Lepisosteus oculatus: one gene and its partners. The protein of the gene in region 2 interacts with the protein of the main gene of each other region in a pairwise test. Links are inferred from orthologs where the notes say so. Each region holds a gene or a part of one and is shown on either strand. Other genes may lie near its edges. The genes, in order: calpain-3; ntaq1; psme3; glycogen phosphorylase, muscle form.

Region 1 (7,991 bases), on a different chromosome or scaffold from region 2:
TTCAGTCAGGATTGAGAGTTTCAAACCAAAATAAACAAACACTAATGAAGAAAATATCCCAAAATGATCACCGGAGTCTGGAAAACACTGTGGACAAAACTGCTTCTGCTGTAGTCATACCTTCCATCTTTACATACTGTACATGTGGGCAGTGAATAAGCATCAAGAGGGCAGTTTAATATGATCAAATGCTCTGTTTTCACTTGATACTCCACACTACTGTATATCTCAACAATAGAAGCTGTTTCATAGAAGGTGGAAAGTGTATTCATACTACAGTAGGTTCATTGCAAGTAAACCTGATTAGGGTTGCCTGGTTTGAAACAACGCATCAATGTGCTAGTTCATCACATTCACTTTAGCTCAGCTGTACCGAGTTCATTTCTAAATATGGAACAAGTAATAGATTTATTCCATGCTGAAAAGAGTAAGAAAGAAAACACAACATTTCGGCCGTGGAGCCTTCTTCAGGTGTCAAGCTGACGCAGCTACCCAACTGAATTTCTAAATATGGTTGCTAATGACACCCATGATTCCTGGACACTTTGAGACTGAACAGGATTTCAAATTTGCCCTGAAACCTAACCAAATTAAAGTGTAAATGGATCCATTATCTTTTACTTTTCATAGTAAATTTATTTGACATGAACGTTTTGCAATTATCTTAATAGTTGTGACTACTTTTGAATAAAATATATTCTACGAACAGATTCATCTGTAAAAGAAACTGCACATCTGATTACATAATAAACAGGAAGAGGCAAATTAGGACACCAGCATAGGCAATTAAAAGGCATTTTTAAATAAGAATGTCTGCATTTGATAGGTAGATTAAAGTTTAATTTAATTTTTTAAATGACGACTTAGTTTTTACTTAGTAAAACGTTTTTTTTTATGTCGCAATTCTGAGATACTTAGTCGGAATTCTGAGATACCATAGCGCGTTTTGTTGTTTACTCTCTGGCTTCCATAGATACAGTATCAGAGTACCTCATTTAGTTTACATTCAATGTTAGTCTGGTTCGGCTGGATTTATACTGTATGGCGATCGTCCTTTGTTCCTTCCTCAAATGGACCTAACAGTACGAAAATACGAAAGGATACGAAAAAGCTCTTGAATGAACTCTTAAAACCGCATTCCATTTGGACGGACAAAACTTTAAAGCAGTGGCGGGTAAACGTGTTCGGAAAATGAAAATGTTTCAGTGAAGCTCTGGACAGTGAAACGCGTAGCCGGGCAAGTTTTGTAGGAAACATTAGGAGTCCGAGTACCTAATTACAATCTGCATACCCCAGAAAGTCCCGAAACAGTATCCTACTGACAGGAGCCAAAGTTGGTTGTCAATATCTAAAAAATAATATTTATTGTAAAGAACAATGCAATTAAGTTAATTTACACAACACAGCAATTCTAGTGTGCGCAGCTGCCAAAATGCAAGACGCATTTCTGCAGCCTAAACTTCAAATTTGAGCATTTTAAACACATTCCTGATGACAGTACTCTGTACTCAACTATCCTAACAGGGATAGTGTATGCAAGACTACACCTACCGCTGAAAGCAACATAATATATCGTAGTCAAACCGACACAATCTCCTCTCATTTGTAACCTTTCTTACGAACATATCCGATTTTCGTACCTGTGTGAATTCACAAAAGGTCGGCAAAAAACTCAATATATTAAAGCAGTAAATGCATTTTGTGATGCCAGCCAGCTTTACAATCACTCCTTACAATATCACTGATTAAAAACAGGAATAGACACCATAACGTTTTTTCAGAGGAATAATATAAAACATCTGTTAAAAGTACGAAAGACAGGTTGTGATGTTCAGGTTCCTAACACAGAACCTTGCTAGCAGGTGCGCCCCCTTGTGGAAATCAGCCGCTAAGGATGGAATCACAGAATTTTCATAACGGCTGTTTGCGACCCAATTGAGGTTAACCTTTCCCCAGCATTTAGTCGATGACTTCTAGCTTGATCTTTTCGTTACATAAATACGTTTGGTGTTTCCAATGTATTATGTATCACATGCATTTGTATTATTATACCAAAATGTAGAAAGTGACAACAAATGTTTTCCTGTCTTCCTATCCATTCTACTGATGTCTGCAAGGAGCAATATCAAGAACAGCTGATTGTCTTGCAGTGGAATGGGAGATTTCCAACGCAGCTGGCGTTTGATTACTCCTGACATGACTGATACAGCCTTCTCATGTTTATTTAAAAATTCTGTTGCAAAAGTTGTGTATGCTTTGTTATAACTAAACAGTTATCTTATTTATGGTTTTCTGTTCAGACTCTGCAGAGTGGATGAGCTGTATACTCACAGGTGGACGTTTCCATTCAAATTTAATGGGGTATGTCCCACTGTAGAACAAAGAGGAGTCATCTGCTTTGAAAGTGGGGTCCTCAAAGAGCACCTTCTTTTTCACGTACTTGTCACGCAGCTCATAGAAGCTCTTGAGCCTCTTGGCATCGATGATAGTGTGGTTTCGGTTCAAGATGGCCGAGTATATCCCACCAGGTGTCCCCGAAGGGCAGGCACTCTTCTGAGGCATTGGCGAGGCTGTCGTCCTGGTTGCCACGGTAACAGGTGTTTTTGTCGCCATTTTTCCTTCTTAACAAACTCCACAAAACTGGCAGCTTGTGTGAAGTCCACAGCAGAGTTGTGAAAGAAAAAAGAGCAAGTACGTATACCGTATATATTTAAAACTGATAATGGCTTCAACTGCTAAGGAGAAATCTGTCTGTCAGAAAGTTCCACTCAAGCCAGGCTGAAAAATTAAAATTTCATTTTATTCTTTCGTGTCTGTTCCCTCCACCCCCACCTTATAAATTGACAGTCCCAAGCTCTGCACTTGCAGACCTCTCTTTTACGCATGACCGACACAACTTTTTCTCAATCTTTTCCCTTAACTTCCCCTTCTTTCTGCTGGCTTCCAGTTTCTTCAGACACACACGCCCATGCAGGCTCTCGAAAAAACGCACACACACACAAACCCTCACCACTTCCCTAGCAATCTCTACCAATTGGGAGCTCTAAAAATAAACTTTTAAAAAGGACGGAGGTGTCTACTTTCAAACACTCATCTCCAGGAGAGCTCTCTCCACTCCAGTCAGCTTGGCTGGAGAGAGGCACAGAAAGAATCTGGAGCATCTGTGGCTGTTATAACATGTAGCAAACAGTCTTCTTGACTGATTGCTGGGGATAAAGTTTACATTATCTCTAGCTTAAATCAAATTTGATAATCTAACAGTTTTGACAAGTCAAGCACTCCCTTGAACTGGGGAAGCAAGATGATGTAGCATATGGTATTACACTTGGTACAATATACAGACTGTAATTTTACTATACAGCACTGTATATGGTGCTGTTTAGAAGAAGAATGCAACTCACTTTAATGAAGATTTACTAGTACCCAGTGAATGATTTGTTTGCTACTTGCTGCATATTCTTATGCTTGTTGAAATAGAGTAGGCCTCCCTTTTCTTTTTGATATGCTTGTACATAAATTCACTCAAGGACTTCTCAGATATTCCACTTCATGGCAAAATTATTTTATTGTAGTACTGGAGGGGTAACAGATCTAAGACAAGCCATAGCCATCCTCTAGGGATAATTTGCTAGGTGCTAGGTGGTAATGGACTGTATTGGCACATTTTTTGCAGAAATTGAGGATGCCGTGGTTAAAGGAGTGCAATGTATGATTGGCACCACAAGTTCTAGACTCTAGAATCTAGAGCATAGACAGCACTTAACTGAAAAGCACTGACCCAATATAACATAATGCAGCACGCAAGTGAGTAAAGTTCGTAGGACAGAAGAACACCAGGATACTGAATTTCCCAGAACTGGGATACTGAGTGCGTGACCAATGCAAGACGTACATGGGTCATGAAGCTCATAGAAACACAGAAAATACACCAACTGAGGCAACACCAAGGTGCACCAATGCATGAACTGCATGCCATACATTCTCAACAGAGTTGCAGGGAGTACTTTCAATTGCTGGGTGCACCCAGACATGGAGTGCACAGACATACAGTATGAAGCAGCTGCTGAATGCTTTAGCTGTGAGATGTGACAGCTCTCTGAATGCATGGCATAGTGGAGTTTAACAGCAAGGGGAGGAGTGCACAGCACAGTGCAGTATCACTATCTGCAGGAATCATACAAAATGATGAAAAGCAACATTGCATCCTTTTTGCATTTCACCCTGCTAAGTAGAAAGAAAGTGTGTAACTACATCTTCCTGTGCTGATTAGATGAACATGTTTAATAAAAAAAACGTATTCAGAGCTCTCAGCTCAGCTGTTGTGCTGCTGTTCTCTGTCCTACAGGGGGCAAGAGAATACAAGAAATGGTAAATTCCCAACATAGGACCTTGCACAAAAACCCTTTACCAAAAACAACATTTTAAACTGAATAAACTAATAATAATAAACTAATAAACTGAATCTATATTAATGGTTCATATATTCTCGTTGTTGTTCATATATTCTATACTTGTTGTGTAGACTTATTTTAGACAGGGCACTACCCTGATTCCCCTTAAGGAGAGTGTGAATGTTTCCATGACAGGAATTAGCCATGTGGAATATATATGTGCCAAAAGTATTCAGACATCCAGAAAGCTGAGGTTTTGCTGAGACTCACTGTTTTTCAGTCTCAGGTGTGCTGTTAGTCATGCTGTTTTTTACTATCTGGGCACACTATAACAGGGTGCCAGTCGGGTTGGTGACTAGGTTTGGGATGGATAAAGAAAGCACTGCCTCACTTACTGTAAATGGGGGAGAGAAAGAGACAAGGAAGAAGTAAATGTTTATTCCATGCTGAAAAGAGCAGAAAAGAAACACAATGTTTTCGGCTGTGAGGAGCCTTCTTTGGGAGATGTATAGAATGCTGCTGGGGAGCTCAATAAATAAAAGATGCTTGGGGTCTGGATTCCATACAACACCGAAGACATGTTTAACAGTGCATTTGTTTTCTTAAGTTGTAAGCTGTATATTTTTTTTGCAAAGAGAAAAGTACAATATACTGTGGCCAGCAGAGAGGTTGTGAAAAACCCACTGGAGCAGGATATATGAATGCCCTTTCTGTGAATGCTGGCAAACACACTTGTGTTTTTACGATAGACTATTTAAACAAGTTTAAGACGTCTGCAATTAAGCCAGCATTCACCTCTCAGTCAGAGATCAGCTGGATGAGTCACTTCCTGAACAGAGCCCTAAACAGGCAGGGGCAGCTCCAGTCCCTCTAGATGTTGATGCTCTCTTCATGTACACCACTGAAGAGCATGGCTCTGGCCATCATCCTGCTCCTGATTCCTCTAGGTACAAACCTTATAATCAGGGCGTCACTCAACAAGAAGATCGTCCATGTTTAATTTAAAAATGATGTCTTGTTTTTTTATTTTTCTGTTGCTTTGAAATGGGTGCAAAAAACATACAGCTGCAAACTTTCATATCTTGTAATTTCTTTTGAGAGGAATCTAATGCACAGTGTATTTCAAAAAGCTTTTAGCAGCATGTTTGGCTTTCAAGACATAGGAAAATGCATCTTAATGGCTGGAAAAGAGAAATCATTTCATATTTCACAAGTGCTGTTTTCAGTAGGACCTTTTAGACTGGGCTAACTGCATAATAAGTATGGGATTCTCTGATATTCTCAAGGTTCTGACATTTATTGACTGTCTTGTTTCTCCCTTCAGCTCTAGCAGTTGACCAGTCTCCCAATGTCATGATTGAAGAAGAACACAATGTGACTCTGTACTGCTCTCAGAAAGGCACCAGCTACAGTGGAATGTACTGGTACCGCCAGCTGCCTGGACAACATCTGGAGCTCATAGTATATTACTATTATGACACGGAATCAATGGAAAAAAAATTTGAAGGAAGGTTCTCTTCAGAGCGGAAAGATTCATCTTTGTACCTGACTGTGCGGGAACTGAAGTCTGCTGACAGTGCTGTGTACTTCTGTGCAAAGCAGGAGGCACAGTGAGCTGGCTGCACGTGAAGACCAGACAAAAACAGATCTATGTTAGTATCACTGTTTTGTTGCACCTGCAACACCAGCTACAAAGTTATTTCTTACTCCAAATGAGAGGGAAACCACATGTAATTTTATTGTTATCAGCATTAAAAGAAATTAACTGTAATCATGATGTATTTCCTTCCCTCAAGCCAGGTGCTGCATGGCAGTTTTGAAAATTAATGTTTCTGACTGATGCCAATCAGTGATGTTGCTGTAGCTCAATATACAGTAGCAACACTTTGTGAATATTTTTTGATACTAGCTGTTATTTCCCTCCCCAATTGCAACAGATCTTCAAAAGACTTTTTGAAGAAATTTTATTTGTGGAGTCTTTGACATGTCTTCTGGGTATTTGTAATTGATTCCCCGACTATTTGATTTACTGGGCGGAATGGTCTTCCTCTATTTTGTAACTTCTTTTACTGTCGGTTTTTGCAGTTTCTGATACAGTGACTGTATTATCACTTAAATATCCTGCTAACCTAATGACTTCCTCATTCCTTGACATACTAGCTGTGTCACTTCCTGTACAGAGCTCCTACCGATCAGAAAGAAGACACCTGTTGACTCTGAAGGTGCTCATTGTCTGTGTCAGTAGAATAAGCCTCTGGACTTCATAGGAGAGATGAGATATCCTCTGGCTTCTCTTCTTCTCTTACACATTATAACAAGTAAACTTGCTGACTTTTATTTGTTTCTGAATTTTTAAGAAAAAGTAACACAATTCTTTTGTGAAGCAAGCAATCTCCTAAAATAGTAAAAACTATTTTAAATGACAAATATTGGAACACAGTTATTGTTGAGAAGAAATCTGTGTTCTTAAATGGACTGTTTAAATGGTTTTCTATCTTAGAATATAAGTACTAGTTCTTTAAATTTTTGCAAGGGAAGCAATATCAGGGAGTTTTTATTTCTCTTCTCACATTAGCTCTTTTATTCTCTTTCAGCTGGTTGTGGTCAAGAACTCCATGTCTCCCAGACCCCACTCATTCTCTGGAACAATACAGGAGAGTCAGTATCGATGCACTGTGAACACCAGGGGGGTATTAGCTACAATGCTATGTACTGGTTCCGTCAGCTCCCAGGAGAGAGAATTCAGCTCATAGTCTATTCTGTTGTTGGTATTGACCCTGACTTTGGAGAACTCAGTACAAAGAAATATGACGTTAAAAAGACTGAAGCTCAAAAAGGATCTTTCACAGTGAAGAATCTGGAACCAGGAGACAGCGTCACATACTTCTGTGCAGCTGGCAAACACAGTGATGCAGAGCTGCTGCACAACTTGTCAAAAACTCCTTCTCCCATACTTAAGTCTGTACTGTTTGCTGTCAAGAGTACAGTAACTCATCTTGATCTGTAGGGGAGGCTACAACACAAGGAATAGTGAAAAACCCAAACACTGAGTGGTACAAACTTGCTCAAATCTTTTAAACAGTTAAAATCTTTCCTTGTGGGGTGTGTCCCATACAAAATATGTCTTTGGCAGTAATGATAATTGTTCAATTCTTACATTGCAGAGCCAAAGAAAGGACTGTAGTCCAAAATAAAAATATTTTGCTGTGGAAACATCGGCTCCTTTAACCTACAAAATCACAGTTAAGTTATAGGTGGAGACATGAATATGATTATAATCTGTGCAGTGGCCATCCTTGTGATTGACACACAAGGCTTTGTTAGACAGCATCTTGTGGTGTTACAGTAAGTGTTAACTTCAAACATTTCAGTTACACTGTGGTTGTCATAGGTATCGCAGAGGAGGTGAGTTCTGGCCTCCTGTCAGATGTGGCTCTGCTAAACTTCTTTTCTTGTGCATTCTTGGGGATTTCACATGAACATTCTCCACCTCACTCCTGGATGTGGACTCATTGTTGTTCCTGATCAGCCCGATACTTGTGGTGCCATCTGCAAACTTAATAATGCGGCTGCTGCTGTAAGTGGCTGTTCAGTCTTAGG
Region 2 (7,700 bases):
TTACAATGATTTACTCATAACCCATTCTCTACTGGTTGTGTATACGTTAGAAGAAAGAAATCAATGCTACCTTAATGCTGTGTTTGCAAATATAAAATGGGCAACTGAATATTATTAACTGCACTCTCTAATCAATAATGCCAAACAGAGTTTGATGGATGCACTCTAACCTCAAAGCGAAATATCAGATATTGCTAAAAAATTACAGTTCAATCTCGGATAAAAATGTGAAGATCTCACCAGCATTTTTAAAGCTGTGATTTAACAGCAATATCCTCCTGCCCTTTGCTAATTAGAACATAAATTGGGTTCCACACTACACTGAGCTTCACCAGTAGACCTTTTGTAATGGGGCAGTAATTTGTTTCCTCATAATCGGTTCTGAAAGGTCTTTATAAAAGACATTGTGTTCTCCACAGACAAAAAGACTTTACCTTGTAAAATGTTTTCTTTCTTTCCCGTCCTTTTGTGGAGTTTCCTTATCTTTAAAATCAGAGAAAGACACCTCTTGCTTTTCCTTCTGCCCGTTTGTCTTCCTTAGAGATAGTTCAGCTACATTTTCTTCATCCTTTACTGATACATGGCTCTAAATTCAAAGGAAATTTTGTAAAACATGTGTCATTTCTTATTTCTTATTATAAAAAAAATAAGACAAGAAAGCAGAATTGATTTTGGGTGAAAACACATTTTCCTAGATTCTAGATGCGCTTTTCCTCACATTTGTGCATGAAGATTATCACAATGTCATACCAAACAAACGTCTTTCTTGATGAGGCTCCTTCTGTTTCTATTCAGCCCAACCTTACAATCGTTGACTGTAATAAAAATCAGACTCCAGCTGTAAAATGCCTTCATCCTCTCAACAAAGGTACGAAACAGTATACAGTATCTCAGCAAGCTGAATTAAAAGAGGAAATCTTACTGGCTTACCAGTTTAAATGTACCTAAAAGTTACAATAAAATAGCAGATCTAGTTCTTTCCATAGCTTTCACCTGTAAATTAAGTTCCACACTCGAAGGGTAGTTCCCTAAATACGTGCAGCAGGCCTTTCACCCAGAGATCTTATATATTATCCATTCATCCATTTTCTAACCGCTTCTACCACAGTTCAGGGTCACAGGGGAGCCAGAGCCTATCCCAGCAACCAACGGGAGCAAGGCGGGTGGGGTCCATCACAGGGCACACAAGGGCCAAATTTCCCAGAAGTCAATTAACCAACTAATAGATGTTTTGGAGGAAACGAAAGCACCCTGAAGAAACCCGTGAGAATACGGGGAGAACACACAAACCCCATGCAGACAGAACTCCGGGTCCAAGATTCAAACTAAGGCCGCAGTGCTGAGAGGCAGCAATGCTATCTGCTGCAATATCATGCTGTCCAAAATTAAAATCTGATTGACCACATTACAGCACAATAATAATAACTGCTTACACTTATATAGCAATTTTCTGGACACTCAAAGCGCTTTACACCACCAGTGTGCAGCATCCACCTGGATGATGCGACGGCAGCCATAGTGCACCAGAACGCTCCCCACACATCAGCTATCAGTGGGGAGGAGAACCGAGTGATGAAGCCAGTTCATAGATGGGATTAGGAGGCCATGTTTGGAAAAGGCCAATGGGAAATTTAGCCAGGAAGCCAGGATAACACCCCTACACTTTCCGAAAAACACCCTTGGATTTTTAATGACCACAGAAGTGTCAAGACCCTGAATTAAAGTCTCATCCAAAAGACGGTGCCTTTTTACAGTACAGTGTCACCGTCGCTATACTGGGGCATTAGGACCCACACAGACTGCAGAGTGAGCACCCCCTGCTGGCCCCACTAACACCTCTACCAGCAGCAACCTTAGGTTTTCCTAGGAGGTCTCCCATCCAGGTACTGACCAGGCTCACACCTGCTGAGCTTCAGAGGGCTGCCAGTTGTGAGTTGCAGGGTGAAATGGCTGCTGCTGCAATATCCAATTGATTCAGAACATCAGGCTCCAGACATACTGGACACAGGTCAACTAGCAACATAATCACTGACGCTGCCAGGTCGTGTTTTTATTAAGATTTCCATTTAAGGTTTCTTTTTTTCACTTAATAACACTGCCTTCTGTGATCTGCTCCTACAACTTTTGGCCAGCTATTGGACAGCTTTGAGCTGTTACCAACTGATGGGAGCACTTGTGCAAATTTCAGCGACAGATTACTGTTCAACAAATCATAAAAGACAATTTCTTAACTACGACGATGGGGAGTAACTATTTTAAAGACACGCTTTAGATACTGCATTCTGTGCCTGGAGAGATCACGACTTTCTGCTAACGTTTAGCTGGCACTGACGTTACTACTCGCAGTAACTTCAAAATCATCCCCTTTCGTCTCCAGGTGTCCACTACTGTCCACCTCAGGAATTATTCATCCTCGGATCTGCAGTATGACAACCGAGCCAGCAGCAGATTTTGACATGATCTCCTTTATTCAGTCAAGTCGTAAGGTTAGTAACTGGGCTCTGATGACCCGGACACGCTCACCTCTTCGCCTCTAAATTAAAACACATGGACATGGAAACTGAACTTTGATAGGTCGAAAACGAAGCTAATTACCGATAGGCCGGTATGAAAACAAGTCGTATAACGCGTGAAGGAAAACTGTCAGTAACCTTAGTATTTTGCATTTATGTTTCTCTGTTTAAATGCAAAATAAGAATTTTACGGACTGTGCACCGGGTTTCGTCCTCTGTTAATTCACACGTCATCCCAACTCTCACTCTCTTTGCTAGAAGTCAGTGATGCTGTCAGGCAGCCCAGATCATCTGATCTGAGAAAGCTCTGGGCGACCAGAAGAATAAACCGACGCCGTAGTCCAGTTGTTATCAGTTTGTTGCGATTAAGAGCCAACACGCAAGGCTCCCTATATCACGAAGTGTCCGGCTGATCTGGGGGCCAGCTGTCAGCCCCCGACTCAGACAGTTTCTTGGGAAGAAACCGCAGCTCGTCTAGTCCAAAACAGCTGTCATTCCTGACGCACACACCCTCCCATTAACAGCTTTATCATTATTATTATTATTATTTCTGGTAACCCGCGAAAGGACAGGAGGCTCACGTGTCGAGTCGGGGTGTTCTCGGCTCCGCTCGAGCTGTCATCCGCGGCCCTCCTGGAGCGCGCGGAGCGTCTCCGCGCGGACGTCAGGGACAGAAACTCGGCGCTCGAGTCCAGCGCCGGCAGCTTCTTCGGGGACGCGGGGTCCGCGCCCGCACTGCTGCGCAACATCACCATTATAGCCCCCCGTTCTCCTGCTCAGACCGTCAACGGACGTGTTGGAAAAGTGAAGAGGTTTCAGAGTAGGAACAATCCGCTCATGTCCCTTTTCCGGTAGTGGCCGGACAGTTGCCGCTAGCAGACAACCTCTCACTTTTTCTGTTTTTCCAGCCCTTGATTTCTGGCGCCACAAACGTCACAGAAAGTCAGATCACTACCTGTATGTTGCTCCGAAGCAAGAAATAGGCCACGTAGGTACACCCTCTTCACTTTGGAAAGTAACGTCCTGTTTCTGACCACACTATGCTGAAATGGCGGTGACGATAAGGAATTTCTATATGACACCCCTGCGTCCTGTCGTTCTTGTTTTCTAAACACCTTAAGAATTTTATTCCATCCTGCGTAGTGATCTATTTTGAAAGGGTGCCCCGGTAACTTTTTGGCGCGTAGTAAACAACGCCACACGAGGAGCTTTCATTGGCTAATAACAAAGGCCCCGCCCCCAAGCCGAGGTCATAACAAGCACGTGAGGCTCAGGGAAAACGCGGGAGCTGTCAATTCAAAACAGCCTTCTGTTGCAGTGCATTCTGAATATCTGCGTTACACAGTTACAGGCGTCTCTAAGAGGGGCAAATAAGAACAAAAGGAAAGCTGCACTTTATGAAATAAATGTACATTCCTTACATGTCTCAAATACATACAGAAGCGAGGTTCATTCTTTCAGTTTGTGCACATAAATCTTTAGTGTTCGTGGTAAAACCAGCGAATACGTTAATAATGAAAACTTACCAATGAATTTGGGATTAATTCAGTTTATTTATCGTCCTAGAAATAAGGCAGAAGGACCCTGGGAACCTCTGTTTATAGTTTTATAGAGGATTGCATTTCGTATGTATAAAAGCCATCTCTGGCTGATTTTGTACAATTTTTTAAGAAGGAAAACTGCTAGCCTGTTTAAATTTAATGAGTGAGAGGAGAGGGATTTCACAAACTCATTGAACGCCATGCTCAGACAAGCTTATTTTGTATTTGTGGACGTCATGTACTTTTATCAAGTATGAAACAACCAAGCTAGTAGGTTTGCTGGCGCGAACTAGTAACGATGAAACTGTTTTTTTTATTGTAGTCATATATCGAGTCTGTATAAACGACTGTTTCTGATTGCTATGGTTAACGTAAAGTTAAAGTTCGATTAAGTATTTATCTCTATACCGTTGCTTTTGTATTCAAAGGGATGACTGTAAGAAATGTTTAGCTTTGAACCACAGTGTTTGATCTTTCATTTGTGCATAACACTAAATATACTTTTCATAGTCAGGTTATACATAAAGGTTTACCAATAAAAAGCGGGTGAAAACAGTCTGAATTTATATCCACCAAGAGGTTAACATATTACATAAAAGTTGTTTGCCACCCGGAGCAATAAAGGTGTAACATATCCAGTCCCCCTGTTTTTAACGTCCGCATGATGTTACGTTCCTTTTTTAGATGAACAAGTCAAGAAAGTCAGGAATTCACTTTACTGTTCCCTGACATCTTCCCTCGAGTCATGAATAATACAAACGAATCATCTCATTATTGCAGTATTACACCTTCCAGACAAGACTGCATCTATACAAGCTGCTACTGGTGAGGACAATTGAGTTATCCACAGCAGATATTAGGGTATTCACGCTACCCTGTTGATAAGTCTCTTGTATTACTATCAATGAAACTGTGCGGCAGGACTGTGAATACATTTGTGTTTTTATTTACTAAAGTTGATTGTCCTGTTATGCCTTTTCTTAAGAGGAATTCTGCTTCGATGTTTAAAAGGTTTTTCTTTTGCTTTTGAAGGAACCTTTAAATGCTATCCGGATTGTCACGAATAGAATTAAGTTTGTTACTGTGGGGTTTTTTTTTGCGGAATGTTGTACCCTTAACGGTGTGCATAACCCCTTTTTAATCTTTACAGTAGCGCTCTTTTTTCCTGTTTTATATTTTTATTTGAGGGCATGAATGATGAATTTAGTTTACATTACCTCTAGTCGCCTGCCAATCTACCGATGCAGACTATTAAACTCTTTTTTTGTTGTCAGCGAAGAGAATGTCTGGAAGCTCTGCGAACACATTATGACTCGAAAACAATACCCTGAGGATGGAGTTTATGCAGTGTTTATATCCAACGAAAGAAAGATGGTAAGCTGTCACATATACCCCTGTTTTCACCAAGTCTAGGAATATATGCACAATGTATATAATGTATATACAATGTATAGCTCTGTTTTTGCTGATTGGAAAGACGGTATGCAGATTTCTGATTTTGTTTAATTGTTTTTAGCATCATTGTAATCATTTAATACTGACTGAGTGAAACACACGAATGACTTTGTTACATGAAAACTGATTGGTAACAGGCGATGAGCACATTTCCTAGAATAAACAGGACACAAGCTCTCTTCTCCAAAAATGTCTGTTTCACACTTCAATTTCAATTCAATTTATTTTTATATAGCACCTTTCACAACAAGGTTGCCCCCAAGGCACATATCAGTGTGACAGTACATGACGTTACAGTCCAGAAAGAGAAAAAGCCAGAAGACAACGGAGGAGAGGAACCAAAAACTCCTCTGTAAGGAGAAAATAAAACTCTAGGGGTCCAAGGTCAACTGGCTGCCCAACCCCTCTGGGCATGCTAACATTAAACAATTCCAAAAGAGTACTAAATGTGGAGTATTGAGTCTTCCATCATGTCCTTCTGTGTGCCAGTACTCCATGCAGTTATCTGTGGACCAGCAAATTCTCCTGAACTATAGCTACAGTATATTCGTGATCTCCCTCTTGGATCCATGGCAGAGATGCAGCATCCAGCTCAGATGGTGCCCAGCTTGGAACCTCTCAGCACTTCAGCAAAAGTCATTAAAACTGTTGAATGCCAAGGTGGAGGAAAATGAATAGAAAGAAAAAACGCATATGACTGCTACGCTCTGCTTAAATCAAGAGAAAAATAACTCTGTGTCACCAGTATGACACAATACCCAAATTACTGGGACAACAATCTCAAAACTGCTATTTTTGCTTTATTGCCAGTCTGTATTTGTGATCATGAAATTGCTATGATTGGCATGTCCAATCTTATATACTGTAACGCCCCGGGGTTCGCGTGGGTGTGCGCCCTCGCCGCTGCCGCCTCAGGACGGCCCCCCACCGTCAGGGACTCAAACCCGGGCCTCCAGCGTCACTCAACAGGGACCCAGCCACTAAAGGGAAATCTCCCATCAGCCTAGTGGCTACGGTCCCTGCTATTCCCAGGGAAGGGCGGTGACGTCACCGCGCGGATAAGCCGGCTCTCACAACCAATGGTGGCCGTATGCGTTACAATACTTTTTATTTTTAGGAAGCACCATTCATATGTTTGCTAACATTTGATGAAAAAGAAACTTTATTTTCAACCCAGTGATTTCAAGTAATTGGGACACTTGCAGCACAGACAATTTGATCCTCCAAATAAAATCATGAAATTAATTTTCATTTTATATGTTGATTAACTTAAAATGTGTCTGTTTTCTGCCTCTCTTTCAATAAGCTGTAAATGACGTATTAATGGAGTACAGTCTGTCTTGTGTTTCAGGTTCCAATCTGGAAACAGAAGTCAAGCCAAGGAGATAAGCCAGTAATTTGGGTAAATTGCACAGATAAGAACCCTGTTCATCCTGAGCCCCAAGATGAGTGTCGCATTAGAGAGTGCCATTTCAGATGCACCTGGTGGTAACCCAGCAAAATTAAACAGATATGGCATGACTAATAAAACCTTTATCCCTGTGCTAAATTTGCGTGTTCCCCCAAATGAGAAATCAACACAATAAAACAAAAGAGAATTACTGACAGCTGAGGCTGATTAAACCTGGCTGTTGTCACTCCTCCCCAACCTCTGTTATAAACTTCGTATCTGGGCAGTGAGAGAGAAGGCAAACAGCTCTCCCTGTCTGAGATCTTGAATTATTTTGTTAATCTAACTTGGTTCTTAACAGATCTCTAGCTCACTGAATCCTGCTCTCTAGGTGGGTGGGTGTTTCACGTGAAAGGAAGAGCAAAGGATTAATGATGAATAAACAGTTCTCTCCTGATTCAAGTTTCATGACATGTATATTAAAGATATTATACAATCAAGGTCCTAGATGACCAGTGTGTCTGCATTTCTTTAAGGCATGATGAACTATGGGAAGCTATTATGCACTGTCTAATTAAGCCGGTAACTAGCTGATTTATCTATTTAACGTCTGAGTTGCAGTGCAGACCTGCGGACACATCAATCCAAACTGATATACACATTATTCTCTTCCCCAGGACTACCATGTTATCCTGCTCCATGAGAGCCGTGAGGGCCAAACTTATATCTACGATCTGGATACCGTCCTGACCTACCCTTGTCCATTCGCTGTGTACGCAAGGGATGCCCTTCAATCAGATG
Region 3 (7,949 bases), on a different chromosome or scaffold from region 2:
CATTTAAGACGCACCTGGGCAAGATGCTCAATTCAATTCAGCAGCTAACGATCAAATGAGAGAGTCAAACCCAATGGCATCCTCTAGTCTTACTTTTATTGCTGTCAGGTTTCTTTTTTGTTAAGGAGGCATGCATTTGAGTTTACAGGATTGCAAAGCTGCTGCATAAAGCATGTGTGGCACAGACCTTAGTCCAGCTGAGAGAATGAGCACACAAAAAATACAGCCCTTTCTGAACAAATAAGCCTTAATGCCTTAGATGTCTTTAAAAGTTAAAAAAAACATCCCACCATAGTTCCGTTTTAGGCATTCTATTCTTTAAACATGAAAGCCACAACTTAGGGCTTCTCAAACCTGGCTAAGATGAGGAACGTTTTCATGAGAAGGTGGTGATAAGCCAAAGTATCATGTAATTAGGTGGGGCAAAACATGAGCTCTAATCTGCTGTGTTGAAACTATTGGGGTTTTTTCCTCTTCCTCTAGAGAACCACATTGAATTGCATGTCATGGGGCTCAGGAAAGCCGTTTCAATTAATTAAAAAGAACATTTTATGCTTCACTAAGCCTTCCGTTCTAATTTTCAGACCCAAGATAAGAGAGCAACTATACTAATGCCCTTATCATGTGGGGAAGGCATGCACAGAAAGCTGTCACTGGCGTTTTACCCACACCACAAGAGAATTTGGCAAATTTAATTACAGAAAATTCCTCTGCCACTGTTTTACATAAGCACTTGGAAAAGGCTCGTCATGCTTGCTTAACGGGGTAGCTGCTAGGCAAGTTTATTAACAATCGCCCTGCTTCTCTAAAACAAGCTGTTGTTAATATTGTTACTGCTGTATCCCATGCAGTTGATTCTATCAGTCCATTTTTTTTACCACTTCATCCAATTTAGGGTCGCAGGGGAGCTGGAGCCTCTCCCAGCAAGCAACAAGCACGAGGCAGGGTGCACCCTGGGCAGGAGACAACTTTGTCACAGGGCACACACACACACAGACAGACAGACACGCACACTCTCTAACTAAGGACAGTTAATCTACCAGCATGTCTTTGGACTGTGGGCGATAACTGTTGCACCCCGAGGAAACCCACCTGGACGTGGGGAGAACGTGCACTCACTCTAATCAGTAAATTAACATATAGGCCATAGTTATATTTGAATGTCCCTGGCAATGTAATGTTATTTTAAATTCTAGAACGGCGTTTATGTTAAAAATATAGCAGATAAGGGAACGAAACAAACGAGAACAGTAGTTGCGGGTTTCAGTTTGAACTTGTATTATAGCCGCTTTTATTCCCATTGATGAGATAAGATTCCTACGGAGATCCGACAGACTAATAAGCGAACACGTTGCTATTTTAATTTTATGTATTGAGATACATTTATACCATTGCAGACAGAACACATCTGAAATTTACACCCAATTTAAAGATGTATTTACTTTCAGCTATGTCCACTTCCCGGGACATCTGAAAAGTCACAATCGCATACTAAGGGCTCTATACATTTGCTGTAATACAGCATTAAACTTCATTATAAATAAATTACACTTTTATTAATAAACACGTTTACTAATTAACTTCATTATGGATAATTGCGGTGTGTCTGAAAGGCGATTTTAGTTAAATATTAGGATAATATTAAATTAACAAAAAGCCACGGACGCATAAATTCATTACTTAGTGACGATATTTCCACTATATTCGAGAAGGTTCTAATGTGACCCCAAGTTCCGCTTAGTACGCTGTTAATTCGTTTAAAGTTAAGCCATGCGAAGAGGCGATTTCCCTGCTCAGTGAGCTCTAGAGGGCAGCAGCTGTTGCAACTGAGACCAAGTTCAGTACGGAGCTGCGGGCTCATTTCAGCGGCCAGATTCGTTGCCACTGGTCTCAAGGACTAGTTCATGGAGCTGCGTGCCAACACCGGCCTGTACTCCAGCTGTAACGGCGCTTTCAGGTCGCTGCAACTGATCCGCTGTCTTTCTGTAGCTTTAATGGAAAAGAGCTGTTGTTTTTAGTCATCCTATTGTATGTTGACTAACATGCAATATGTACTGTGAACCTATGTAGGGATGTTGTGCTCTGAAAGAGCTGTCCCAAGCCAGATACAGTATTCACAATAAAACGCCAAAGAATGCAAAATGGTTTTCGGGCAGGTGGCCGGACCATCTAAAACAACATTTACACGGGACGAGTCTTCTTTTTTCTCACTTTCTACTCTGATGGGGGCACCGCGGGTGGATATGTGCATTTCCAAACTGTTCCTGATTACTATGGGCTGTTTGTTTGATCTCTCCGTAAGGGCGAGGAGAACAGATGCGAGTGGTTTCCATCTCGACTGTAAGCATTAAGGACATGCTGCGTCACCGCGGATGACTCACTCGCCTGCAGGAAAATAATACAATGTCTCCGTTTTGTTCCGGTATCGAAAGGTCATGCCTTCGTGACCTTTAACACAGTGTTTCTTCAATGCCCCACAAACCTGTCAGAAACATTTCTCCTCTTTATATGACATAAGTATTCTTAAAAAAAAAATTAAAACGGCGCCGATCTGTAGGAGCAAACAAGGCAGCCCTCCTACCCAGCGTTCATAACAGATAAGGTTGTTTTCCAAGTAGATTTGAACTAATTGTAATTTATGATTTCGATTGTTAAGGTAAACATATTTGTGGTATTTTCCCAGTTCACGCACAGAACCTCGGGCAGTCATTCACGACTCTTTTATGACTCCTGTATTGATAGTTTTGCTACCAACACAGTACAGTGTGTGTAAAAGAATGAGCCAGGTCTTTATTAATTGGATATAAGGGCTACTCGTTGCGATTACGATTTATGACGTTTCTAATGTCTGACATCACGCACGGCACGGAAATCCTATTATCGCCCGTACGCATACACAGCGCGTCGGAATTTCAAACTGGCCCTGAAACGGAAGCAAAGCAGGATTTTAAACTGAGGAGAAACTTCGAGAAGGGCCGTGTCTGGGGGGGGGGGAGGCCGACGCCGAGGTCCGACCGCCGCGCCGGAGGCTCACCGCCACTTCCACCGCCTCCCAGCGCGTCCTCTCCGAGTCCGACACCAGCAGGCTCTCCGCCCGTCCCTTAAAATGCGCCTTCAAGCTCACGGGGGAGTCCATGGCCGTCTGTCAGATGTGCAAGTCTGCAAAGGTCATCCAACAAAGAAGCAGCGCGATCTACTCGATGGCACGGTCTTCTTCTTTTACAAGCCAGCTTCTCGCCTGCCTCCGGAGCTCGGCCACGAAGCTCTTCTCCCCACAGTTTCTGTTTACATCTGCGGTAAACACGGGCCCCCACGTGACAGGAAGTCGCCCGACGTCATCAAGAGGGTACATGCGCACTCTCAAACCGGGAGAGACGAGTGGATCGCGCTGGGTTTGACAGGTGTTTCTTTATATCATTTTAGGCTCCCGCTTCTGACCATGATGATGCCAAATTGTGTTTTTCCTATGAATATAAGTTAACGATACCTATTCATTCATCTGCTGTAGCAGATGTTAAGCTACATTGCTTTAAAGGCGTATACTGATTTACAACATATCGCAATACATGTCATATTCTGTAAATCAGTTATATTTGTATTTGCAGATGCTAATTATAGTTTCTTTCAAATGTTTCATGACAATGCAGATTACACAGATACCTGTGATTCTAACCCTGGATGGACATAAGAGAAAGATTAAACGTTTTTCATAATTTGAATTTATTTTGTAATATGTACCCCCTGACGATGTTTTTGTCGTAAAATGTTATATGTACGCTTGTTTGTATTGTATTTGTTGTTATTGTTTATGCATAAATAAATAAAGACAAGAGAATGATAACCAACTGCTGGTAATATGGTGCTCTGCGGATCACGTGATTCTACACAAGGCCCGTACTTTACGGTCTTATAAACCCCAGCAACTTTAGCAAAGACACTTATCTGACAAGACCATGGCGATTTTCTATAAGCTGAGGGTCTGTAGAATAGATATGAGGTATTTTTGAAGAGGCACAAATTTGTGTTTGGTCGGGAGGTGGGTGAGACCGCTCCCTGTCCATCAGTGCACGGTCTCAGTCTGGGGATGGGAGGTGCTCTACAGACCCCAGCAGTTTTGACAGAGACACTTGTCTGACAAAAACAAGGTGATTTTCTATCAGCTGAGGGTCTGTGCAATAGATTGCATCCACCTTTGGAGAGGCACAAATTTTCCCCATCCAATTCTGCACTGCAGTTTTTCTAGAGGTGATCCACCCAGACCAACAATATTAATAAAAACTTAAAACGGAATGAAGAAGGGTGATTTGCTATTGACTGACTGTCTTAACATTGTATGTTTCACCACTTTTGATTGTGCACAAAATGTTTTTGTCCCTGGTTATAGTTTAAAAAAATGATTGAATTTAAATATAATAAAGGATTTTATTTAATTACAAATTTCAGATACAACTCCTTTAAAAGCTTGCATCTTAAAACCTTTTTCATTGAACAGAAACATTTTTATGAAAAAAAAATATAGCAGTATATTACAGTAGTAGAAAGGGGCTGTAAAATTAATACAAACTTCTAATAATCTTAGATTTGTCAAACTTGGAGATAAGTGGAGGCGATTTAAAATTTAAAAAAGGACTCTCTCAAATTAACCATGACGAAATAAAGCAGGTGTTTCAGCTGCTTGTCACTTCGCTTAATGTTGCTTTACTCCTCAAAAGCTGCTGTGGTAGCTGAAAGTCTTTTATTTTGATTGAAATTCGGCTATTGACATACACTTCCGGGTCATTCGTGTCGCTTAGTGTAGCCAGCTTCACGCTACTTCCACGTGGTTGGGTGATTTTCCTCGCCTCTCATTGTCGTCGCGGCTTTTCTACGTCATTTCTCGTTCTCTCCCTTTGATACCTTGTGGCTGTGAATAGGAGCTGAAAGGAGCCACACGGTTATTTCTGTTAATACGATCTCAGATTCCCTTCCCTATTTGTCTGAAAATAGAATGTCTTCTCTCCTCAAAGTGGACAATGAAATCAAAACTAAGGTAAGAGACGGTAATCCGAGAAAGACTGACGCGAGGGGGATGTGGTGTTGAAATTTGAACAGTCGGAAATTTTTCTGTAACACAAGGCCGGGGTATTAAATAAGTGCCTAGCATAATCGCCTGGCTTTCCCGCGCTGTGCTTCACAGATATAGTCATAATTGCTCTGCGTATGTCGATTTATATGGAATTATCTGAAGTTAAAACAGGATATTTCCGTATATTCCGATATTTCCAATAGTATTGCCCCTTCTTTCATTCTGGCCGGAGGTGCGTGTCTGCTGCTGTCGAAATTAAGGCGTTTGTGGTTGAGTCTTTTCCATAATGTGAAATAATAGTATGATCGTAGCGCCTGTAATGCACAATAAATTCAGTGCGATTTGGCCTGCGTTTGGAATTCGTGTTTTTTGACACGTGTCCTGTTTATTGTTTTGAGTGAATGTCCGGGTCCAATCCCAAGAGCTGTGTCAAAGAATAAAAACGATCGTAAACATTTTTGCTGTCCCTTCAACAGCTACTTCCTTGGAGCCGGATATCTTGGGTGTTTATCTTATTCGAAATCTATATCTTCAGAGTCGCACGGCGCATGTGCTCATATATTTATATAAAAACTGAGTGACAAAACAATTCGGTTCAGGAGACAGTCCCGATGAAGCTACAGACAGCGAAAACGAATGAAAAATCTTGCACCCAGTAGATATATTGGCCAGCATCATGTTCACGTGTTATTGCATTTGTGCTGTATTCTGTTTCAAGCGTAATCTTACGTTACTGTATTAAATGCACAGCCTTGGCAATGTTCTACACAGACGGGTAACGTTTCAGTCTTTGACAGTCTAGTTGTGGACCCCGATTTACGTTTACTCTTTCTACAGGTTGATGCTTTCAGAGAACGAATCACCGGTGAAGTAAGTACTTTTGCTTTCAAATTAAAACGATTCTTTTAACGTAAATAAAAAACTAAGTTGTACTGTACTTAGAGCTCGCATTTCCCAATGTTTACTTTTCTAGGCAGAAGACTTAGTCGCAAATTTCTTTCCAAAGAAGTTACTGGAACTCGATCATTTTCTTAAGGTAAGTCTTTCGATTTTTACCGTTATGTTTGCGCGGTTTTCGTTGTGTAAGAGCTCCTATCCACAGCTGAGGAGACCTGGAAGAAGACGAATTGCGTTTAAACTGCACTTTCCTTGTTAGTGGTTCCCAGAGCACTTTATTCACCTTTGAAAAGCAAATCACCAATCAGTTGTGGTGAGAATTACTCCAGACGTTTAGCCATGCTGGATCATGCAAGCCCAGAATGGGATTTAGTCAAGATGCTTGCTTAACATACCAATTCTGGAAAAACTGTTTCAAGGGATCTTTTAACAACCAAATAATCAGGACATTAGTTCAATCTCATCTGAAATCATTGTACAGCACGGTATTCCCTGTCCCCATAGTGGGGCTCTTCAATTAGTAATTCTGTCTTCAACAGAAGATTGCCCCCTGCTGGTTCACCTACACGACTTGCTGTTCATTGTGCTGAAATCAACGCTTACTACACCCTAGCCAGACCTTTGGGTCGGAGAGCTGATGGGATGGCAATAATACCGCAGAGGAGAAAAATAACCACCTTCGTGCAGATCGAAGTTCTGGAGAGGGTGTAAGCCCCCTCCGTGTAGCCAGATATCTACGTCCGAGAGAGGCTTAAAAAGGTCACCGCACTCCCAGAACCATGAATTGTACTGGGTGAAGTTAATTAACATTTCTAAGTTAGCAGCCTTACGTCTTGGGCACCACAGCAGTGCTGGAATCAATGTGTGAATCAAGCTAGAATTGAGTTCAGTAACGTGGAGCCTCACATTTTCTGGAGTTACTGAAGAGATTTAAGGTCTGGTGCTTGGTTTGAACGATCACTGCCGAGTACGTGACCAATGCTGTGTGACTGTCATATGGTGAGCGAATAGAGCTTTACCCCTTGCTCAGCCGAACGGGAGAGAGAAATGTTTCTCTGTTGCCTTGTGGTTATTTCCTCAAGAAGGGAACTAACGAAAAATGTTAAAAAGCAGATATGCTTGGGGGGAAAGGACTTGTGTTTTCTGTTTTGACGAAGGAACAGTTAAAGCCTAATGAGGTCTTAAAACAAGCTGAGGTCTCTGAGCTCAAGGACTAATCATCACTCCTTGGATGTTAAAGGAAAGGATAAAGTTACGTGTCTCCAAGGCTGGTGGTTTGACAGGACTCTTCAGATGAAGGCTGTGGTCCGGTTTCAAGGCAGAACCTTTTGCTGCTGACGTTCACATGTGTTTTCATTGTGCCTTGATCTGCTGTTCTACAGGACCCGATCTTAAACATCATTGAGCTGAAAGACATCCATTCAGAGATCAATTTATCCGTGCCTGACCCCATCATCCTCACAAACAGCCACGATGGGCTGGAGCCTGTGAGTATAATGCTGTTCCTCTTGAGCCTTGTTTTTTAAAAGCTGATAAAACCGATCAGTCCAAACAGTTGGATTGATGGCTGAGCCTGTTTGAGGGCTAATTTACATGGAGGTTTAATATTTTGTTTTCAATGCAGAATTGACAATGGTTCTATTTTTAACATACCCTTCCCACATGGAATTATCAGTTCATCTAAATACTATGGCCTTCGTACAAGCTAGGAGCAAATGAGGTCTTTTCATACTTTCCTCCCCAACATTTTCAGTTATTTTCCTGCAGCCCACCTTTTATTTAGGCTATTATTTCATGTCTGTACCCTTGATTAAGAGAAAATTGTACCACAAAACAATTGGTCTTAGATTTTTTTTTTGTAGAAAAGTGAAAATTTGTCATTGTAACAATTGTTTTAAATTCGTTTGGAATCGCCAACAGCAGGCATGAGGTAAAATCTGAGGTGCCATCGCACGAAATATGCCAAGAGTATTCTATTTTTTATCCT
Region 4 (7,570 bases), on a different chromosome or scaffold from region 2:
GGGCGGCCCACCCATGCCGCCCAACCCCAACGGGCCCCCTCCTCCTTGGATGCAGCCCCCCCCTCCTCCGATGAACCAGGGTCCTGGGCCACACGGACACCCCCATATGGGTGAGACTTCTTGGGGTAATGAAACTGGATTCTGTGAGCGCTATGCGGTGTGGTACCTCAGAAAGAAGCTTTAGGCCTGTCGCCCCCATGTGTGAAAAGTCTGAAAACTAATGTGGTGGTCGGGTTGGCTTTGCACGGTTATTCTCCCAGCAAGGAAGGTCGAGCGAGCTCCTTCGATACCGGTTATTCTTTCCCTGTTTTTGATTACACTGAAAGGAGGTGGGGCTATACCTGCCCCAGGTCAAAGGGGAACTGCAAGGGTATTTTTATGTTTTGGGGTTAAAAGGATTAGCAGTGATGTGCGCGTTTCAAGCCACAAGAACGGTAAAATGTCCACCGTAACGGGTAAAACCTCCCATTTACGTTGCGAAACGCAGGAAGTTTCCAGGTCTGCTCAGCGCCATGTTCTGGGATTCAGGTGTCCGGCCCTGCGACACAGTGAACAAGCAGGCTTGTGAGTCCAGCTCTTCTAATCCAGTAGAAATACTGCTCTCCTCTCCAAGACGGTTTCACTGGCAAATACTGCTCACTGGTTAACTCTGCCTGCGGATCACGCTGGAACATTTCTGCGGTGAAATGTCTGCTGCACAACCTGTACTTATCCACTCGTACATCTCAGTACATTACAGTGAGCAGGAAGGGCTGCTTCACGTCGCAGTTCGTGCGAACTCTCGGGAGCATGGCAACTTGCAGTACTTTCACAGAGCTCAGGGATTTCTGCTGCGTTCCGAGATGGAAGAATTTTAAAATAACTGGCCTGTGAATTTAGGACTACAGCCCCGCCTCTCGCTGTGCAGACGGCCCGGACTTGGCGCATCCCAGTAAGGATTCCGAGGGGATGCAGGAAGGCCCTGCCAGCTCCTCTGAGCCTTCTGAGCTCCTAAAGACGGTTCTCTCTCTCCTCTGCCCTCTAGGCCTGCTGCCGCCTCCAATGGGTCTGATGCCCCCTCCTCCACCTCCCAATAGCCAGCCGCCGCCGCCGCCTTCAGCGCCGCTCCCTCCGTGGCAGCAGCAGGCCCCCCCTCCGCCTCCGACCAGCAGCATGGCCACCAGCGCACCGCTGCCATGGCAACAGAGTAAGTCCCCCACCCCCCCTTTGGTGCAGCCAGCCTGCTTCGTTCGCCCCAGCCAGGCGGTTCTCGGGTGGCAGGGCTCTCGGGGATTGAGTTGGAGAAGCCGGCGTGGTGGCCGTCGGCTTCTGGTTCAAAGAGCTTTCAGCTCCTTATGGTATTTTTTGTCCTCAATTTTTCAAAGTCCGTACTGTGTGCTCCTTATTGGAAGTGACTGTAGCAGTTGACCTTCTAGTACAGTCAAGCAGAACTGGCATATTCATGATCACCGAAGAGACTCGATTATTTAAAGCCTTAAATACATCAGACTTGGTACTAGATTGGCGAGTCTCTCCGTTTTCCTCATGCTTGACCATCGATCCTTGTTTTCCGCTCTGTAGACACCATCACCACCTCTTCTCCGGGCTCTGGAAACCTGCCCCCTTGGCAGCAGCAGCAGCAACAGCAACAACAACAGCAACAGCAGCAGCAGCAGTCCTCGGGGTCCTCCGCCCAGCCCCCGCCTCCCATGGGGAACCCCTCCCTGGTGCCCCCGCCGCCGGGAGTCCAGCCTCCTCTGCCCCCCGGCGCCCCTCCCCCTCCCCCACCTCCTCCTCCGGGCTCTGCGGGCATGATGTACGCCCCCCCTCCTCCCCCGCCCCCCATGGATCCCTCCAACTTCGTCACGATGATGGGGATGGGGGTCCCCGGGATGCCGCCCTTTGGGATGCCCCCTGCGCCCCCTCCTCCGCCCCCCCAGAACTAAGCTGCCCCCCCTCCTTCCACCCTCCCACCCCCGGGTGGAGCAGATGTGCGGACTCTGACCTTAACGCAACTGTTTTTAGAAAAAAACAACACGATGTAAATACTGGATTTCCACACAGGGCATTTTTAAAAGGGGAAACTTTTAACGTTGACATCACCACGCTGTTCTCTAAAGGTTTGGAGTGTGGTGGTGAAACCAGTATACTGGTCCCATACCCTCGAGGCCCTCTTGCAGAGTCTTTCACGAGGGAGGAGAGTCCTCCTGTGTGGAACAGTCTTAGACCTGATGAACGTGGCGCTCTTTCGAGTTGGTTTTAGACTTGAAACACCGGAAGACCCCTGTGTGTGTGTGTGTAATTATTCTGCTGTGGAGGTCTGAGCATGACGGGGGTGCTGTACTGAGGAACAGTGTCGGCATTCCCAGCCCAGTCCCAGGTAAACTGATCAATCCCGTGTTTCTTCCCTGTAAATCTCACCCTGGCATCGACCTCTTTTGTCTTCTAGCTTGCAAATTGCAACTTGAGTTTGCTGTCCTAGCTTAGGACTCCTGGTTGTTTTTTTGGGGGGGGGGGGTCAGTTATGTGTATATTGTTTCCTAGTGAGATGTTTGGTTTTTCATTGTTGTAAAAACACAGCTTCCTTGGTAATTTTGTGATCCAAAGAGGCGATCCTCCCCAGTCCTGGTTTGCAATGAAAAATGAACCCCCTGGGATCTTTCTAAAATTACTCATTAGGGCCTAATGGGGCATAGGTCATTTAATTTCAAGCTGTGGATGGAAACCCGATTTGTAAATCTTTTTATTTTCCCCTGTAATGGGTAGTTTGGGCTTCCGAGATCCTCTGAATCGCGGGAAGATCTTCTAAGCCACAGAACGGTTTTATTTGCGAAGTCAAATTCAGAAGCTGTGGGAAAATGTGATTGAAAGGTCGGTGTTGCTAATGGGTGGTGCCTGTTGCTTTTGAAACGGCAGAAGCCTTTTCTCTCCTCAACAGATGAGAACCGTTTCCCCGAGTAGACAGATCTAAGCTGTTCTTCACCAGCTGCCGCCCCCTCTCCCTCAGGGTTTTTTCTGTCATTCAAAACCGCGTCCTGAAACTGACCATCTAAAAGGCCCCTGGCAAGACCTGCAGTTTGTCTGCCTTAAAATGTGCAAGTCGTCAGATGTGAAGAGTATTACGAATGTTCCTGAACTGGCATCGAAAATGTGTCATCTGTTAAACGTGTAAAAAGACTTTTTGTAGTTTTTTTTTTTAAGCTTGTTCTCCCCAAGTTGGACATCTGGGCCCCACGCCCCCTGTGACCTTGCCAGCAACACTACGTATTGGTCAGTGTGCTTTGTGGTCTTGCTACCAGGAGTTCTGCTGTGCCCCCTTCCCAGCCCCCTGAGCGGCTTTTTGATATATCGGTTCTATTGACTTTCTATTATTGATGTTTATTTTCTGTATCTTTTCAGTGAAAATAAAGGGGAGTTATAAATTTACAGAACCCATTGTCCTGTTCCTGGGGGAGGGAGGGGGGGGCTCTTGGTTTGTGCTGTTTCTGTTGAAGGTACAAGGTGGAAATGTTTAAAAAGGGTTGAACTCTTAATGGTGCTGATACTCCCGAGTTCAGCTGTGTGGGCCGCCGCTGTCCAAGTCTCTTTCTTCCCAAACGTGCACGGTTCAGCTGGGCTGATTAAACGGAACGAGTTTAAGGGGCTTGACTGGAAAGAAAAGGGCAGCCTTCTGTCCTTCCAGGATAGCAGTCTTACCCGCCCTGCTTTAAACCTTGCAAGATTCTCTGCAGGATGGCGGTTGCGATGCTTTTCAGGAACAGAAGAGTGTTCTCTCCCAGCACCCTATTTTAACAGCTCCACCCTGTGCCCTCCTGCCTGTCTTTTGTGTGCGCTGGTGACCGCTGGGGGTTTTGGCTGCCAGATTCAGCCCCCTGCTCCCATCATTCATCCTGGCGTCTTTTTTTAACCCTGGCCTTTGAGGAGGGGGTCAGCGCTTTAAATAGACGCCTCGGAGCCAGAGACATGCTTGGCTGCGGACGCCCTCTCCAGCTGCCCCAGTGCAGCAGGGCACGATGGGACTTGTGGTCCAGTGCAATGCTCGGTCTCGAGAGATTTGTGGCCATATAAGTCTACTCATTGATAGCGGTGCGGATGTGGAGTTTATTTACATCTTGGGGAAGCCTCTTGATTAAGATGAAGACAATTGATTAAGCGTAGCGGTTGCTGGGAAAAAATTCAGATATTCCCTCCCTTACTCCTTGTAGGGTAAAAAAATTGTTGCAACACTGATGTAGTTTGTGCTTCCCAGCTATGAGAGGAATTTAAGTCCTACAGTGAATCGGCGAGTATCATCGGTGGGAGCAGCGCTTTTCAACCTGACGACGTTCAGCAACGCCCGTCTCTGCTACCCCCCCCTCATCTGTACCACCAAGGGGGGGCGGGCAACGTGTTTATTTCCAGCCGTGTCCTTTCATCTCGCTTTCTGCGGGGAGACAATCGCGGCGCCTAATAGGGCGCGTTATGAATATTAACTGAGCGACCGTTAGCGTGGCAGCCGATTGGACGCGGCCGGCGCTGGGGGACCCGCCCCCTCCTTGCATATTAATGAGGGCCGGTTTATAAGGCGGCCAGGGGGCGGGGAGTGGTGACAGTCTGCGGGTCTCCGCTGCAGTAGGACAGAGCTGAGGGGCTTCTGAGGACTAAGGGGAGGGGGGTGTCGCCTGACTGCATGTTCCAGTTTCCTTCAGCCGCATTCACACCGTAAGAGCGAAGCTACCCGAGCCCGAAACAGCCAGCCAGCCAAGATGTCGCGACCTCTGACAGACCAGGACCGTAGGAAGCAGATCTCCGTCCGGGGGCTCGCCGGCGTGGAGAACGTGACGGACCTGAAGAAGAACTTCAACCGCCACCTCCACTTCACGCTGGTGAAGGACCGCAACGTGTCGTCGACGCGCGACTACTACTTCGCCCTGGCGAACACCGTGCGCGACCACCTGGTGGGCCGGTGGATCCGCACCCAGCAGCACTACTACGAGAAAGACCCCAAAGTAAGCACCCCGGCGCTGGAGGAGGAGGAGGAGGGAGGGGGGGTGTTTGCCGCATGCAGGCTGGGCCAGCTGGGGGGCGGGGCCGGCGTGGAGGTGATGACGGACGGGGGGCCGGAGCCGCTGGGCTTTGCCGGGGGTTACGGGGGGGGTCTTTTACAGTCTCCCTAAGGATCATCCCTGCGTCTCTCCGTTGGCCTTTGGAGAGCGTGGGGCGACGTGCCACAAAGCATCCCTCCCCCCCCCCATCACCGGCGCGATGACGTGCGAGACCGTACGCCCCCCCGTAAAAAAAACACCGAAGAGTTGCAGCGGGGTACCTGTACCCCCCCCGTCTGTCTTTCTGTGAACCCCGCGGTCTGTAAGGGCTCCGAGGGCGCCGCCTGTTCATCCCGCTGCCAGCTGTCCTTTTGATAGGCGCGTACTGTTAGAATATCATATTGTTTATTCGTCTAATGGGTCATATATAGTCATGTGTATATACACAGTCCTTTAATCTTATTCGAAACAGAAACGGAATGGGTTATATCTCCCCCCCCTCGACTTTATTTCACATATTCGCGTATCGCAGGGGAGAAGGAGAATCGTGACACGCGGCGTGTCTTTTGCGTTCTCTCTCTCGGGTGTGTAATGGAGTTGAAGGTTGCGTGTCTCGCAAGCACCGGAGCGACAGTAGACCATTTTGTTTTGCGACTCCGTCCACCCGGGATTCCTCACGGGAGATTTATTCCCGGTTCACCTGTTTTGTTTTGGGGTTCTCCCGCCCCCCGGATGATCGCCTCTGGCAAAGTAGAACAGCGTAGCGTGTATTACAGTAGCCAAACAAGAACTCCTCTGGTCTGAGGTTGACGTTTAAAACAAATGAAACCGACCTGGAGGCGTTTTTTTTTCCCGGCGACAGCGGAGAGACCGGTGCGGGGCAGCCGGTTCAGACTCCCGTGGGTTTAGCACGGCCGGGCGGTACAACGACATTTCCTGTCACCCCAGCCTGCCATGCCAGCCCGGGGGAGACCGGAGCTCCGTGTTTGTTCAGAAGGAGATTTCAATTTGAAATCATACCCCAGCGCCCCACGGAGGAGGTGCTGGAGCAGGAATCGCCAGACGGGGAACAGTGCCTTTCGTGGTTCATTACACGAGCGATTTCTCAGTGAGCCTGTGCGCCTCAGGTCCTCTTCAGCCCTCAACGGGTGATTAAAAAAAGATGACTTTGCTTGGCCCATCGTTACAGCTGACAGGTGCTGCCAGTCTGTAAAAAGAGGCGACCTATAAGACTGACTGGCCTGGGGCTCCCCAAGATCAGGGCTAGAGACCCCCTGATTCAGGGGGACCTGTAAGACTGACTAGACTGTGGCTTCTCAAGATCAGGGCTAGAGACCCCCTGATTCAGGGGTTTCCAGGTCATGGATCCCCATCACGCCCAGCAGTTCAGAGAGGCCATGAGGGGTACAGGCCAGGGGGGGAATTTGGGTGCAGTGATGGACATTGCTGTCTCGCAGCGCTGGGGCCCCGGGTTCATTTCCTGGGGTGCTGTCTGGGTGGAGTCTGCATGTTCTCCCCGCGTTCGTGTGGGTGTCCTCTAGGTGCTCCGGTTTCCTCCCACAGTCCAGAGACATGCCGGGAAGTTAACTGGCTTCTGGGAAAACTGGCCCTGGTGTGAGTGTGTGTGTCCTGTGATGGACTGTCCCTGGTGTGAGTGTGTGTGTCCTGTGATGGACTGTCCCTGGTGTGTGTGTGTGTGTCCTGTGATGGACTGGGGTCCCGTCCAGGGTGTACCCTGCCTTGTGCCTGGTGCTTGCTGGGATAGACTCCCGCTCCCCCATGACCTGGAATTCACCTTGGAAGGAGCAGCTGGACACTGGGTGGATGGAAATCCTCTTGGTGGCAAATGTCCATCCTGCAGGAATCCTGTTCCTGGATATTTTAGTGTGATCTTGCTGTATTTATTGATCAGTATTATAACGAGTAGTGAAGGCACCGTTCTGTTATTAATCCTGCGTTTTTGATATATAAAAGAACTCCTCTTTGTGGAAAACATCTATCTCCTTGGAAATACACAGGGTCAGGTCATGAAACTCCCAGTCTCCTCCTGGGGAAGACTAAGGCAGTAGCTGAGCGTTTCAGGTTCCGATGTACCAGTGGCCCAGAGTTTGTGAGACCCTGCTCCTTTTTCGTGTTTTCTGTTTGATCTTGTAACACACGACGCAGCGCCACAAAAACCAAAAAAAACGAGTCACACAAGTAGATGTCCATACCCACTGTCAGAGGGAGTGGGCGCCCTGTGTTATTCGGGGTGTTTTAAATCATACTGCTTCGCTGTGAAGTAAATTCTGGACTTGTTTAGGTTACAGTGCGCTGAGCCAGACCCGTGAGAGACGGTTGTCCAGAAGTGTCCCCTTCCACCCGAATTCAGTCTCGCAAAAGGGAGGGGCATCCTACCGAGAAGCAATTAAAATCCAGCAAACCCATCCCGTTTCTAACCTCTTCTTCCGGGACAGGGTCGCGGGGGGAAGCCGGAGTCTATCCCAGGGAGCAACAGGCGCAAGGCAGGGTACGCCCTGGACAGGACGCCAGTCTGTCACAGGGCACACACACTAAACACCAGGGCC

The links.
Region 1: the proteins of ntaq1 (region 2) and calpain-3 interact in binary tests that used the Homo sapiens proteins (3 or more experiments, as listed by UniProt). The two-hybrid records come from large-scale screens. The link is inferred for Lepisosteus oculatus from reciprocal best matches to the Homo sapiens genes NTAQ1 and CAPN3.
Region 3: the proteins of ntaq1 (region 2) and psme3 interact in binary tests that used the Homo sapiens proteins (3 or more experiments, as listed by UniProt). The two-hybrid records come from large-scale screens. The link is inferred for Lepisosteus oculatus from reciprocal best matches to the Homo sapiens genes NTAQ1 and PSME3.
Region 4: the proteins of ntaq1 (region 2) and glycogen phosphorylase, muscle form interact in binary tests that used the Homo sapiens proteins (3 or more experiments, as listed by UniProt). The two-hybrid records come from large-scale screens. The link is inferred for Lepisosteus oculatus from reciprocal best matches to the Homo sapiens genes NTAQ1 and PYGM.

Annotation. Positions count from the first base shown.
Region 1 is NC_090703.1:20,821,839-20,829,829, reverse strand, and holds the start of calpain-3, read right to left. Parts: upstream 3,006-7,991; 5' UTR 2,614-3,005; coding exon 2,332-2,613; intron 1-2,331. UniProt on the Homo sapiens protein: Calcium-regulated non-lysosomal thiol-protease. Proteolytically cleaves CTBP1 at 'His-409'. Mediates, with UTP25, the proteasome-independent degradation of p53/TP53.
Region 2 is NC_090705.1:10,684,830-10,692,529, reverse strand, and holds the start of ntaq1 (protein N-terminal glutamine amidohydrolase), read left to right. Parts: upstream 1-4,700; 5' UTR 4,701-4,799; coding exon 4,800-4,879; intron 4,880-5,328; coding exon 5,329-5,428; intron 5,429-6,860; coding exon 6,861-6,911; intron 6,912-7,576; coding exon 7,577-7,700. Other genes in the region: ATPase family AAA domain-containing protein 2, read right to left, coding at 435-586, 3,095-3,268. UniProt on the Homo sapiens protein: Mediates the side-chain deamidation of N-terminal glutamine residues to glutamate, an important step in N-end rule pathway of protein degradation.
Region 3 is NC_090723.1:3,609,182-3,617,130, forward strand, and holds the start of psme3 (proteasome activator complex subunit 3), read left to right. Parts: upstream 1-4,945; 5' UTR 4,946-4,987; coding exon 4,988-5,029; intron 5,030-5,902; coding exon 5,903-5,935; intron 5,936-6,038; coding exon 6,039-6,101; intron 6,102-7,344; coding exon 7,345-7,449; intron 7,450-7,949. Other genes in the region: nbr1a (NBR1 autophagy cargo receptor a), read right to left, coding at 3,035-3,136. UniProt on the Homo sapiens protein: Subunit of the 11S REG-gamma (also called PA28-gamma) proteasome regulator, a doughnut-shaped homoheptamer which associates with the proteasome. 11S REG-gamma activates the trypsin-like catalytic subunit of the proteasome but inhibits the chymotrypsin-like and postglutamyl-preferring (PGPH) subunits.
Region 4 is NC_090713.1:21,553,820-21,561,389, forward strand, and holds the start of glycogen phosphorylase, muscle form, read left to right. Parts: upstream 1-4,557; 5' UTR 4,558-4,724; coding exon 4,725-4,967; intron 4,968-7,570. Other genes in the region: sf1 (splicing factor 1), read left to right, coding at 1-125, 1,025-1,186, 1,561-1,925. UniProt on the Homo sapiens protein: Allosteric enzyme that catalyzes the rate-limiting step in glycogen catabolism, the phosphorolytic cleavage of glycogen to produce glucose-1-phosphate, and plays a central role in maintaining cellular and organismal glucose homeostasis.